2 linked regions of the Arabidopsis thaliana genome follow. The protein of the gene in region 2 interacts with the protein of the main gene of each other region in a pairwise test. Each region holds a gene or a part of one and is shown on either strand. Other genes may lie near its edges.

The links. The genes of interacting proteins can lie anywhere in the genome.
Region 1: the proteins of PRPL35 (region 2) and NAP1;1 interact in a two-hybrid assay, tested with the Arabidopsis thaliana proteins (2 studies listed by BioGRID).

Annotation. Positions count from the first base shown.
Region 1 is NC_003075.7:13,230,757-13,236,453, reverse strand, and holds NAP1;1 (nucleosome assembly protein1;1), read right to left. Parts: upstream 3,887-5,697; 5' UTR 3,743-3,886; coding exon 3,697-3,742; intron 3,575-3,696; coding exon 3,531-3,574; intron 3,336-3,530; coding exon 3,240-3,335; intron 3,080-3,239; coding exon 2,987-3,079; intron 2,835-2,986; coding exon 2,744-2,834; intron 2,651-2,743; coding exon 2,589-2,650; intron 2,500-2,588; coding exon 2,315-2,499; intron 2,177-2,314; coding exon 1,999-2,176; intron 1,921-1,998; coding exon 1,877-1,920; intron 1,740-1,876; coding exon 1,550-1,739; intron 1,445-1,549; coding exon 1,427-1,444; coding exon of another isoform or gene 1,394-1,426; exon of another isoform or gene 1,024-1,393; coding exon 952-1,023; 3' UTR 546-951; downstream 1-545. Other genes in the region: AT4G26120 (Ankyrin repeat family protein / BTB/POZ domain-containing protein), read right to left, coding at 1-9. UniProt on the Arabidopsis thaliana protein: May modulate chromatin structure by regulation of nucleosome assembly/disassembly. Contributes to the regulation of cell proliferation and cell expansion. May function in nucleotide excision repair (NER). Involved in somatic homologous recombination.
Region 2 is NC_003071.7:10,240,007-10,244,178, reverse strand, and holds PRPL35 (Ribosomal protein L35), read right to left. Parts: upstream 2,305-4,172; 5' UTR 2,142-2,304; coding exon 1,899-2,141; intron 1,549-1,898; coding exon 1,432-1,548; intron 841-1,431; coding exon 763-840; 3' UTR 505-762; downstream 1-504.

The DNA of each region.
Region 1 (5,697 bases), on a different chromosome or scaffold from region 2:
GGCCATCATCACGAGATCGGCGGGAAACAAAACAGAGTCAAGAGTCTAATAACAGTGGAATTTCAAGAAACAACGACCGAATCGTTTCATTAGCAAATAAAAAAACGTATCATCAACAACGGTCTTTCTCAAGCACCTTTATTAGTAAATTTCTTGGAAACTAGATAGGTTTCTTAAAACGGAATATATTACGTCAAATACTCTGAATGGTAACGAAGCGGTCCCCTCTTCGCATGTCTCCAATTTACCAAACAGTGTTGCGACTTTTGAGTTTGTTTTTCATAACACCAAACACAAACAAGTGTCTCAAGTTTATTTAGCTAGCTTTTTTTTCCCCTCATTTAGCTCTAATGATGCATTAAACTTCTTAAGTAGTATGTGATTAGTCCAAATTGTGGATGTTCGGAACCTCACTTTCTTTGTGTTTTCCTTCTACAATAATTTAAATTATAATTAGTGTTGAACAAGCGGAGGCATTTAGTCAAATTACTCATCTTAAAGGTGAACTGATTTCGACCGATTTAGACTTGACTAATATAATATGGTCATAGTCCAATTATTCATCTTTTGTAGTCTTACACAACAAAATGGTTACCATTGAAAATCAAAGGACGGTGAACAAAAGAATAATGATCATTCCCACTACCCATTACTATCTAAATGGTTATTAAAATCTCTTTCGTCGACAAAGTTTAGGTAGGGGATGAAGTAGTGAATGCAGAGACTAGGGATGATGATGCTTGATTCATAAATTAAATACCAAGGTATATTATTAAAGTGCTTTAGAGAAAATAAACACACCAATAGAAAAACGAACGAAACTCCTACAAGATGAATTTCACTTTTAAAAATCCCAAAACCTTTTCTCAATCCTCATTCTTGATGAACAGAGAATGACCTGAATTATATTTTCACGCAATCCTTTTATGTCTGGTAGAGCGTAGTAAAAGATTACTGTTGCTTGCATTCGGGTGGCCTCTCATCTTGTTTACCTTCACCAACTATCTGAGATCTCCCTCCCTTCTGCAGTCCAAGAGGAAAAAAAAATTAAGCAGATGATTCTCACATTTATCACAAACATAGACACTGATTGCTAGTTTGCTACTATAGTAATAAAATGAATTCATGAGAATGGTTCTATCTCGTACTGCCCATGCCATGATTAAAGAGCTTGTTTAGTCTCTGCTGTGTCATTCATGTATCCTTCTCAGAGTCTTCTACGTAACTACCTATTTACTGATTCATACTTTTTAGGATTGCTCAGTTACTTTCAGCAATCTGTATGATTCATGGGCCTCTAGAGCCTACATTTCCGATATTAATTTCTATTTTCATCACAATGCTCAGCCTGAAACTTCTTGTGTTTGGTTATTTGAATGTTGGAGTTCCAAAATCAAATAAACTTTAGTTCTGAAAGGTTACATACCTTGTTGCCGATTGATGGCTGCAAAAAAAAATATTAAGCGATTTCAAAGGATTAGTAAAAAACTAACGTGGCATGAAGAAAAAAAAAAAAAAAAGAAACAACTATACTTGGGGCACTTTATACCTTCTTTTTGGTCTTGCTTTCTTCTTCATCCTCATCATCATCGTCCTCCTCATCCTCTTCGTCTTCCTCATCTTCATCCTCATCAATGTCATCTTCCTCATCGTCATCTATTTCAAAATCCTCTGCTTCCATAGCCTCACCAGTAAACCATGAGACAGCACGAGGAATAATCTTTTCCCGAATAGTAGATCTGCAGAAAGTAAAAAGTACTTGTGATCAGATAATAATGAAAGGGTAACCACCTTGATTGCAGTGATAAAGTAGTCCCATGACTCAAAAGCAAACCCATAAAATCAACAGAGAAAGTGTGTTTAGAAAAAGACGAACCCGATGTCATAATCTTGTTCCATCAGGTTTTGAAGATCCTCAGCCTGCATCAAAGAACGAGAAAGAGTTACTAAATACATTAACTAAATGATGACAGGTTTTTCTAACAATCGTTATCTTACTCTTTCCTCGTCGATATCTTCATCTTCATCCGGAACTTCTGGAGGACTAAAGAAGTTGAAGAAGCTTTCACAATCTTCGAGTTTGGTGATTGGTTTAGTATTCTTTGAACCTTTCTTAGGCTTCTTCTTGAGAATCTTCTGAGTTAGACACTTTCCAGGATACCAATCAATTTCTGTCCTGAAAATGAATGGTGAAAGAATAAGAATCCATTTGCAATATAAGCGAAGAAAAAAAATAAGCAGCTCAATGCAATCAGCTAATAAGCAGAATATACTTAAAAGTATACAACAATTGCAAGAGAGTATAAGTAGTTACCCCATAGCCTTCTCAAGCAGTGGCTCATCTTCATCAATCATATGATAAGACTTTGTCAAGACAGTGTTCTTAAAATACGGATTCGTGTCAAAGAAAAACTCAAGTTTGAATCCTTTAGGCTCTTCAATCTTGCACCACTTAATATCTTTAAGATATTTGAGAGCCCCTTCATCACGCTCTGTGACCTGACATAAATGACAATAAGTTATGCTCATATTCCATGGTTATGATTGGAGTGTTTATAAAACGAACACCAAAACTGCATATAGGCTACCTCCTCGGAAATAACATCGTTATTTTTCAGAGCTGTCAGCCAGAAACTTGGAACTCCTTTCTCTGCAATGAAAAACAGAGAAAAATGTTAAATTGTTTTTGTCTTTCCAAAAAGATTAACAACAAACAAAGAAGACATAGTGCTCATGAAGTTACCTTCTGCAGTTTTCTCCTCTCCTTGGTCCACCTTGGTATCATCCTCTGGAGCCAGTTCAACTTCAGTAGTGCCATTCACAATCTCATAACGCTGTGCCATTACAAGATACCAAGTAGAATTCATTAAGATGCACATAGAAAACTAACACTGCTGCAGATAAGTAAACATAAGCAAAAAGAGTATACACAGATCTACATTGAGTTTAGTAAAATGGTTTGTAAAACTTTCTCATTAACAATTACCTTGACATACAAAGGCTGATACAGCGTTTGATACTTGGCTTCAAGAATAGCTCTCTCCTCACGGAATTTTGCCTCTAGTTCATCATGTTGGCTCTGCGTGGAAAGAAGTCATCAGTAATCAAAACGCAACACCTTACTTTTGAAACTTTAAATTCAGATAAGCAGGGAGAAAACTCACACAAAACAAAACAAACCCCATTAAACGATATATAGCACACATAGTTTGGTAAAATGTGAAAGAAATTTCGCTAACCTGTATATCCCTCAAGGCATCAACGCGCTTTCTCACATTGGGAGTCAGATTCTCGAGCACATCAGAACGCTGACCAGCCAGATTCTGCAGCTTGTTCTGTGAATTAATAACAATGTATTAACAACTCATAAACTATCATTGTACTAGAAGAATGACATTGAAACCAAAACACTAAACACCAAGACACGGCTTATAGTATCTAAACAATCAGAGGAAAGTAACTCAACATCCTCCATATCTTTCAATAGCAAATGCTCACGGGACAGTTTACAGAAGGGGAAAAAAACTCACCTTTAGAGCATTGACAAGGCCAGCTCGATCCTCGTCCTTAAGAGCTGCAAAAAAACAGTAAACAAAAGGAACACCAGTCAGATAACAGAGGAAATTAGGGTTAAAGCAGCTCTGGCTTAAGAGGCGGAGAAAGAGATAAGAGTAATCGTGAGTAGGAGTATTTTACCAGCAGTAAGATCGGAGACGTTGAAGCTATCCTTGTCGTTGCTCATCTTCTGAGGATTTGGTGAAGAGAGAGATTTTGAAGAAGAAGAAGCAGAAGAGACTAGGGACAAGGGTTTTGGGGAGGCGACTCGTAACCCTTAAATCCTCTTTGTTTTTTTGTTTTTTTCTCTCCCTCCTTTTCACACCAAAATTATAACAAATGCCATTTTAGTTTTTTCTCTTTTTATATATACTTTTCTTTCTCTAAAAATTGATGTTTAATGTTTTAAAAAGCAAAATTAAGTTTATTGAATTAAATAACATGCAAAACTTTACATACATATATATATGGATAATGAGAACTGACTTATATATAGATAATTAAAGTTTATTTATGAATTCAATCAATTATAAATATATATAACTAATATATAAACTTTAATTATCTATATAATTAAAATTTTGCATGTAATTATATTAATTATCTATATACTTATATATATATATATACACTTATATATATTTGATTCTTCACCAAATACAGTACAGGTTAGTGAACTTTAATGGGATCAAATAGAAGATTTCTGAATCTGTTAGTACTAAGGCCCATCCCAAGAATGAGCCTTCCAAGCCCAATACACTGATTACTTCTTTTGTTCACATACACTGTACATACTAATTAAAAACAAAAAACAGTCCACAACAAAAACAAAAAAACAGTCCACAACAAAAAGTCATATCCCAAAAGGCACAAAGATCTTTAGTTTGGTTTAAGCTCATCCCGAGTTCAAACGAATTAAACGTACTCTAATCTAGATTAGCTCATCACGACATTTTCAATTTGAAGTTTCAACCTTTTATACGTCTGACCAGAAACACAATAAAGAAGCCTCACGCGTAGCATTTTTTTTTAACCAGAAAACCATGAGACAAATTCAACCTAATCAGATAACTGTAAATCATTTCATTCATCCTATTAAAAGCAAAGGTGAAAAGCTTTTTGTACCTCCACGACTCCCACTTAAGAGAAACATTTTGTAGAGCTTTCAAGTCACGCGTAGCAAACACACCTGGTAAGTGGTCAATCTTTTTATATCATATAGCCATCATAAGAGTATCATTAATAGTAGTTTCTTAGCATAATCTTAATAGTTCTTATGAATATTTTTATAATTGATTTTGAAAATTTTGAAGTTAAGAATTTAGTTAAGAGATTGAAATTTTGGCAATATGCAATGGTGGACTCTTAACTTGAGTTCTTAAAAAAAAAATTGGAAAAAAAGTAGAAACATTATAATTTTAAAAAACTTAATAATTATTACAACTCAAAAAATTTGAAACATACATAACATAAAATTTTAAACAAATATGACAAACAATTAGATTTAATACTTAATTTATCTAAGAATTAAGATTAATTGAATTAAAACATTATATTTAATACCTAATTTATCTAAGAATTAACCTAAGAAACATTAGATTTGGCTCTTATATAAGAGTCATTTTTAACAATTAATTGAATTATAACATTAAATTTAAGACCTACTTTATCTAAGAACTAACCTTATAAACTATGAATAATGATGGTCTAAGCGCGCTTGTTGTTGAAACTCTCAAATAAACCGGATAATTTTAAAACCAGGTTTAGTTTAGTTGGTAGATTCGGCTCAAATAGTAGTATTTTTGTGGATTTAAAGATGCTCAGCATGTATATACATATGTGTTCTATAGATGTTTTACACATTTTTTCTATTTTACTATTCTGCTTGCCATAATCATTAGATTGTTTGGTTGAACCGAAGCATAGAAACCAAACCGAACATAGCACACAGCAACAAAACCGGAATCATTCAGAGGTAAATAATTTTTTTACATTACCCGCAACTGCAAGGAAAGAGGAAAAAAAAAAAGACGCAAACTTTGAGAAAGACATCCTCATCGTTTTCTGTCCATCGAAGCTCTTTTTTTTTTTTTTTTTTTTTATCTTCGTATTCAATTCTTGAGAGGAGAGAGAGAGAGAGAA
Region 2 (4,172 bases):
TAAAAAAAAAAGATGATTATAATATTTTTTGTGTTTGCATTTTTGACATTAAAAAATAAATCTATTAAAATTTTACAACTAGGTGTCACTTTGATTTAAATTTTCCAATTTTATGTTTAGAATTTTTTAAATTTGGATATTTTAATTTAATATAGGTAAGTAAAATAAAATATTGATCATGATTTATATTTTATAGTCTATAATTTATAAGAATGTTGTTGCAATGACAAGTTTGACAACCCATATAACTAAATCCAGAGTTAGTGAACATTTTTTTTTTTTAATTACTCAAAGATTTACATCTATTTGGCCGGAGAACCGAACATTTAATATAGTAAACATTACACTGTACTGTATTTTTTCTTTATCTAATGAACTCCCATTGTCAATGCATTAGCTAGTGAGTCACTATCACAGCCGCATTTTATCTTAATGCTTTTGACAACAAAAAAATAATGGATTGGGTTGTGAGACTTGAAAAGTGTCATAAGTGAGATTGGTGTGATTATAATACTTTGAAGTCTTTTAAGATATATCTGTCTCTGATTTCTTAACCCAAATCATTGATCAATGACCAAACTCGTTGATGAGGTATATGTTACACCTAGAATAGTTGTCATGCGAGACAAGAAAAAGAAGACACAAATATGAAACAAAAATCAACTCATTGACCAAATTATATCACAATACAAAAGGATATTACCACAACTTTAGATTACAAAATGAGAATTGCAGGTAAGAAAAGGATCAAGCCTGCTCTGCTTAAGTCGCCTTTCGATTGACTTTCAAGTAGGGCAGAGCTCCGATCACGTTGTCATAGTCGCTCCGGTTCACTTCCGTCTGCAATACAGAAGACAGAACACAAAGCTAAACGTGTAAGAGAGAACAGAGCAGCGAAGTTGCTAATTAACAAAGCCAAAACAAGTAATAACTTGAACTTGTGATCATTAGATTGATGCCACAAGATTTAGTTTTGTTTTTCTTTTATACTAGTTGATGATAATAGATTTCTCCCTTAGCCACATTTCTAATGAAAGCCACTGCAGATATCAATCGCATGGTTTCCATATCAAGGGTATAATTCTGCCAATAGCGTTAATCCCCCATTTAAGAGATTCAGCGAGAGGTGCACAGAGGCAAATGCACAATGAAAGACACGGTTTGAAGTTCAAAAATATGTCTTTCGACAAACGAAACCGTATATTTACTACCAAGACATTAGCAAACAAGTCATAACTGGGTTGATAACATGAGTTTTTGTTTGCTAAGAGCATGTTCTTTTCCTAACGATTCATACCACATGCTGAAACATTCAGCAAAACCCACTCACAGCTAATCACTAAAGCTCAGAAAATACGAATGCATTTCACACACACAAAACTATATACCCATCACGATATGCAGAACCAAACAAGATTAAAGAAAACGAACCATTTTCGATAGACGTAATTTCCTCTTGTTGTTCTTCTTAGCTAACAAATGCTGCTTTCCAGATCTCCTCCTCACAATCTTCCCTCTACCCGTCACTCTGAACCGCTTCGCTGAGGCCTATCAACAAAATACATTACACATTCTCATAATTCCATTCAACAAAGACTTAACACCAATCAAGAAAAGGAAACACCTTTACTGAAACAATTCAAAACTTCTAAAGCTAATATGAAGTTCTCAGTGTCAGTAATCTCAAACTTCACCAGATATACTCTTAAGTCTATCACTATGACACCAATAGACACAAGAATAGCCAGTGAACCGAAGAAAAATCCAAACTTTCAAAGCATTGATATTCCAATTTCCGCCACTATACTCTCCAAATCATAGTACTTCACTTCAATTTCAGCTCAACTTAACCAAAAACCAGAAATGCAGAGAAAGTGAGAGAGATAGGGGAAAAGTACCTTGTGGGTCTTCATCTTGTAGCCCTTATGAGCGAAAACGGTAAAAGAATGAAGCTTTTGAGAATTGGGGGAAGCAACTGTAGAAATCTTCAGAGGCAAAACAGCGCGAAGCCCAGAAATGGAGTGACTTGAGGAAAGACTCGTCGCGAAATGAACGGAACTGCGAAGTGAGACCTTTGGAGAAGAAGAGCGTAAAGGATGACAGAAGCTAACGTTAACGGAAGCCATTGAGAGAGAAGCCATTAGGGTTTGTGCTCTCGGCGAATTTTTGATTTTTTGCGCTCACTCCGATTGAGGAAAGAGATGATGAAGAAGATAAGCTTTTTTCGCCTTAAGAGCTAAAGAGAGTGAACGGATGATGTGATATCCGGTTTACTTCGGTTTATTCCGGTTAGGAGAAAACCGGTATAGTTGGTTTTGCTCAAAATGATAACACTTGGCCAAGTGTGCATAATAAAGAAAGAAATGATTAAATCAATGGAAACCAAAGATGACAACATCTTAACATTAATCTTTAGGCCAAAGCTTTTAAACAGTCATTAATGGGTTTGAATAGGCCAAAGTCCGAAATTTTGGTGGAATTTAAGGAAGTTGTGAATCATACTGATTAATGGACAAAGTACATAAGATTTCGTTGGTTGATATACGTTTTGGCAACATGTATTGCATCAAAAAATATATTTTTGTACCTTATTCCTATTATCATAAAATTTGTTTTATCAATGGAGGACAAAACTACAACTTGTGTGGCCTTTATTGATTAGGCTTGAAGGATGTTGGCTTCAATGAAGCTTTATCTCATGAATGTATCGAATATATGGTAAGCTCGAGATTTGGAAAACGATTTCTTTGCTTTTAGTCAAGGTTGCGGCAGCTCAATGATGAAAGTGGATAGAGTATTTTCTAATTTCAATGAGATTTCAGTGGAGCTTGTTATTCATTTCCAGCAGATGATAGATTGGTCGGAGAATGCAAATTCAGAAGATATATTGCCTACGTACAATAATTTAAGCCACATTGTAGGTTTTCGACGTAGAAGGTGTTCTTAGATGTTTATTTAAAAGTAGTGAAAGAGATGAAATAAGTTCTATGATAGAGGCATTTGTGTACCTATCGGACCATCCCTTAGATGTAACTAGATTTTCTTCTCCAACCATTTATGGCTTTGCTGGAGTTTTGCCCATGATATTTGTAAGCTTCAGAAACATTAAAAAAGTGATGCAATCAGGTGTTTTGGTGGAATTCGGGGAATTCGTAAGTCACATTGCTGATCACATTAAAGATATTGACCTTTTTTGAGTAAACATGGACGAAATACACACAATTTCATTAATTGATGTCTGTTTTGGCAACATGGATCACAACGAAAGGAATATTATGGTCACAATATAAGCAAACATACTATGGGTGACTCATGAATATGTGTTTTAAATAAAAGTATAATTGGAATGAAAAATAATAAAGTGATATTTAATTTCACATAATGGGGTTATACTGTGAGATAAGTTTGGGTCGATATTAATTTGGAATGGTATAGCGCATGTAAAATCCTAAAATTACCACTCAAAATACATTTATATAATATTAAATACTGTAACAAAATAAATAAAATATAAAATTCAAAATTGTTTTAGCAAGAACTTAAAATTTAATTTTCTTAGTTAAAAAACATCGACCGGCCCGCAGTGAACAACAAAAAACATTATGCACACCAAATAAATCAGTTTTTTTTTTAAATCAAATAAGTAACCTCACTGCAGGTCATATCAATATAAGTGAATAATAGGTTTCTTGCTGAGTTTCCTATTTTGATCTCACGTGATTTACGCCACACTTTCTCTAATCGACGTAATGTCGTGAGTAAAAATATCATTTCTCTTTTTGGTCAAGAGTATATATATAGTAAATACTTTCATTTTTGTGTTCAGAAAAAAATATTACTTTCATTTATTTTTTTAGTTTTTTCATATTAAAATTTCTTGATAGCTTTTTCTGTGAGTTAGCTTCAATATATTAGTCAGCTCATAATGAGTTCGGATATTTCATAAGTTAGCTCAGCTCAGCTTATTTTTTTCTAAGAGCTTCTATATCTAAACTCGTGCTCAGATCATCATGTTCTTGAACAATAACAAACAAAATCTAATAATAATAATAATAATCCAATAATATAGATTTATAGTTAAATATTGAAAATAATTATAAATCCAAGAAAAAACTAATTTGAGATATGAAATACGATAGGACAGATAGATGCAAATTTATAGAGACGACCTA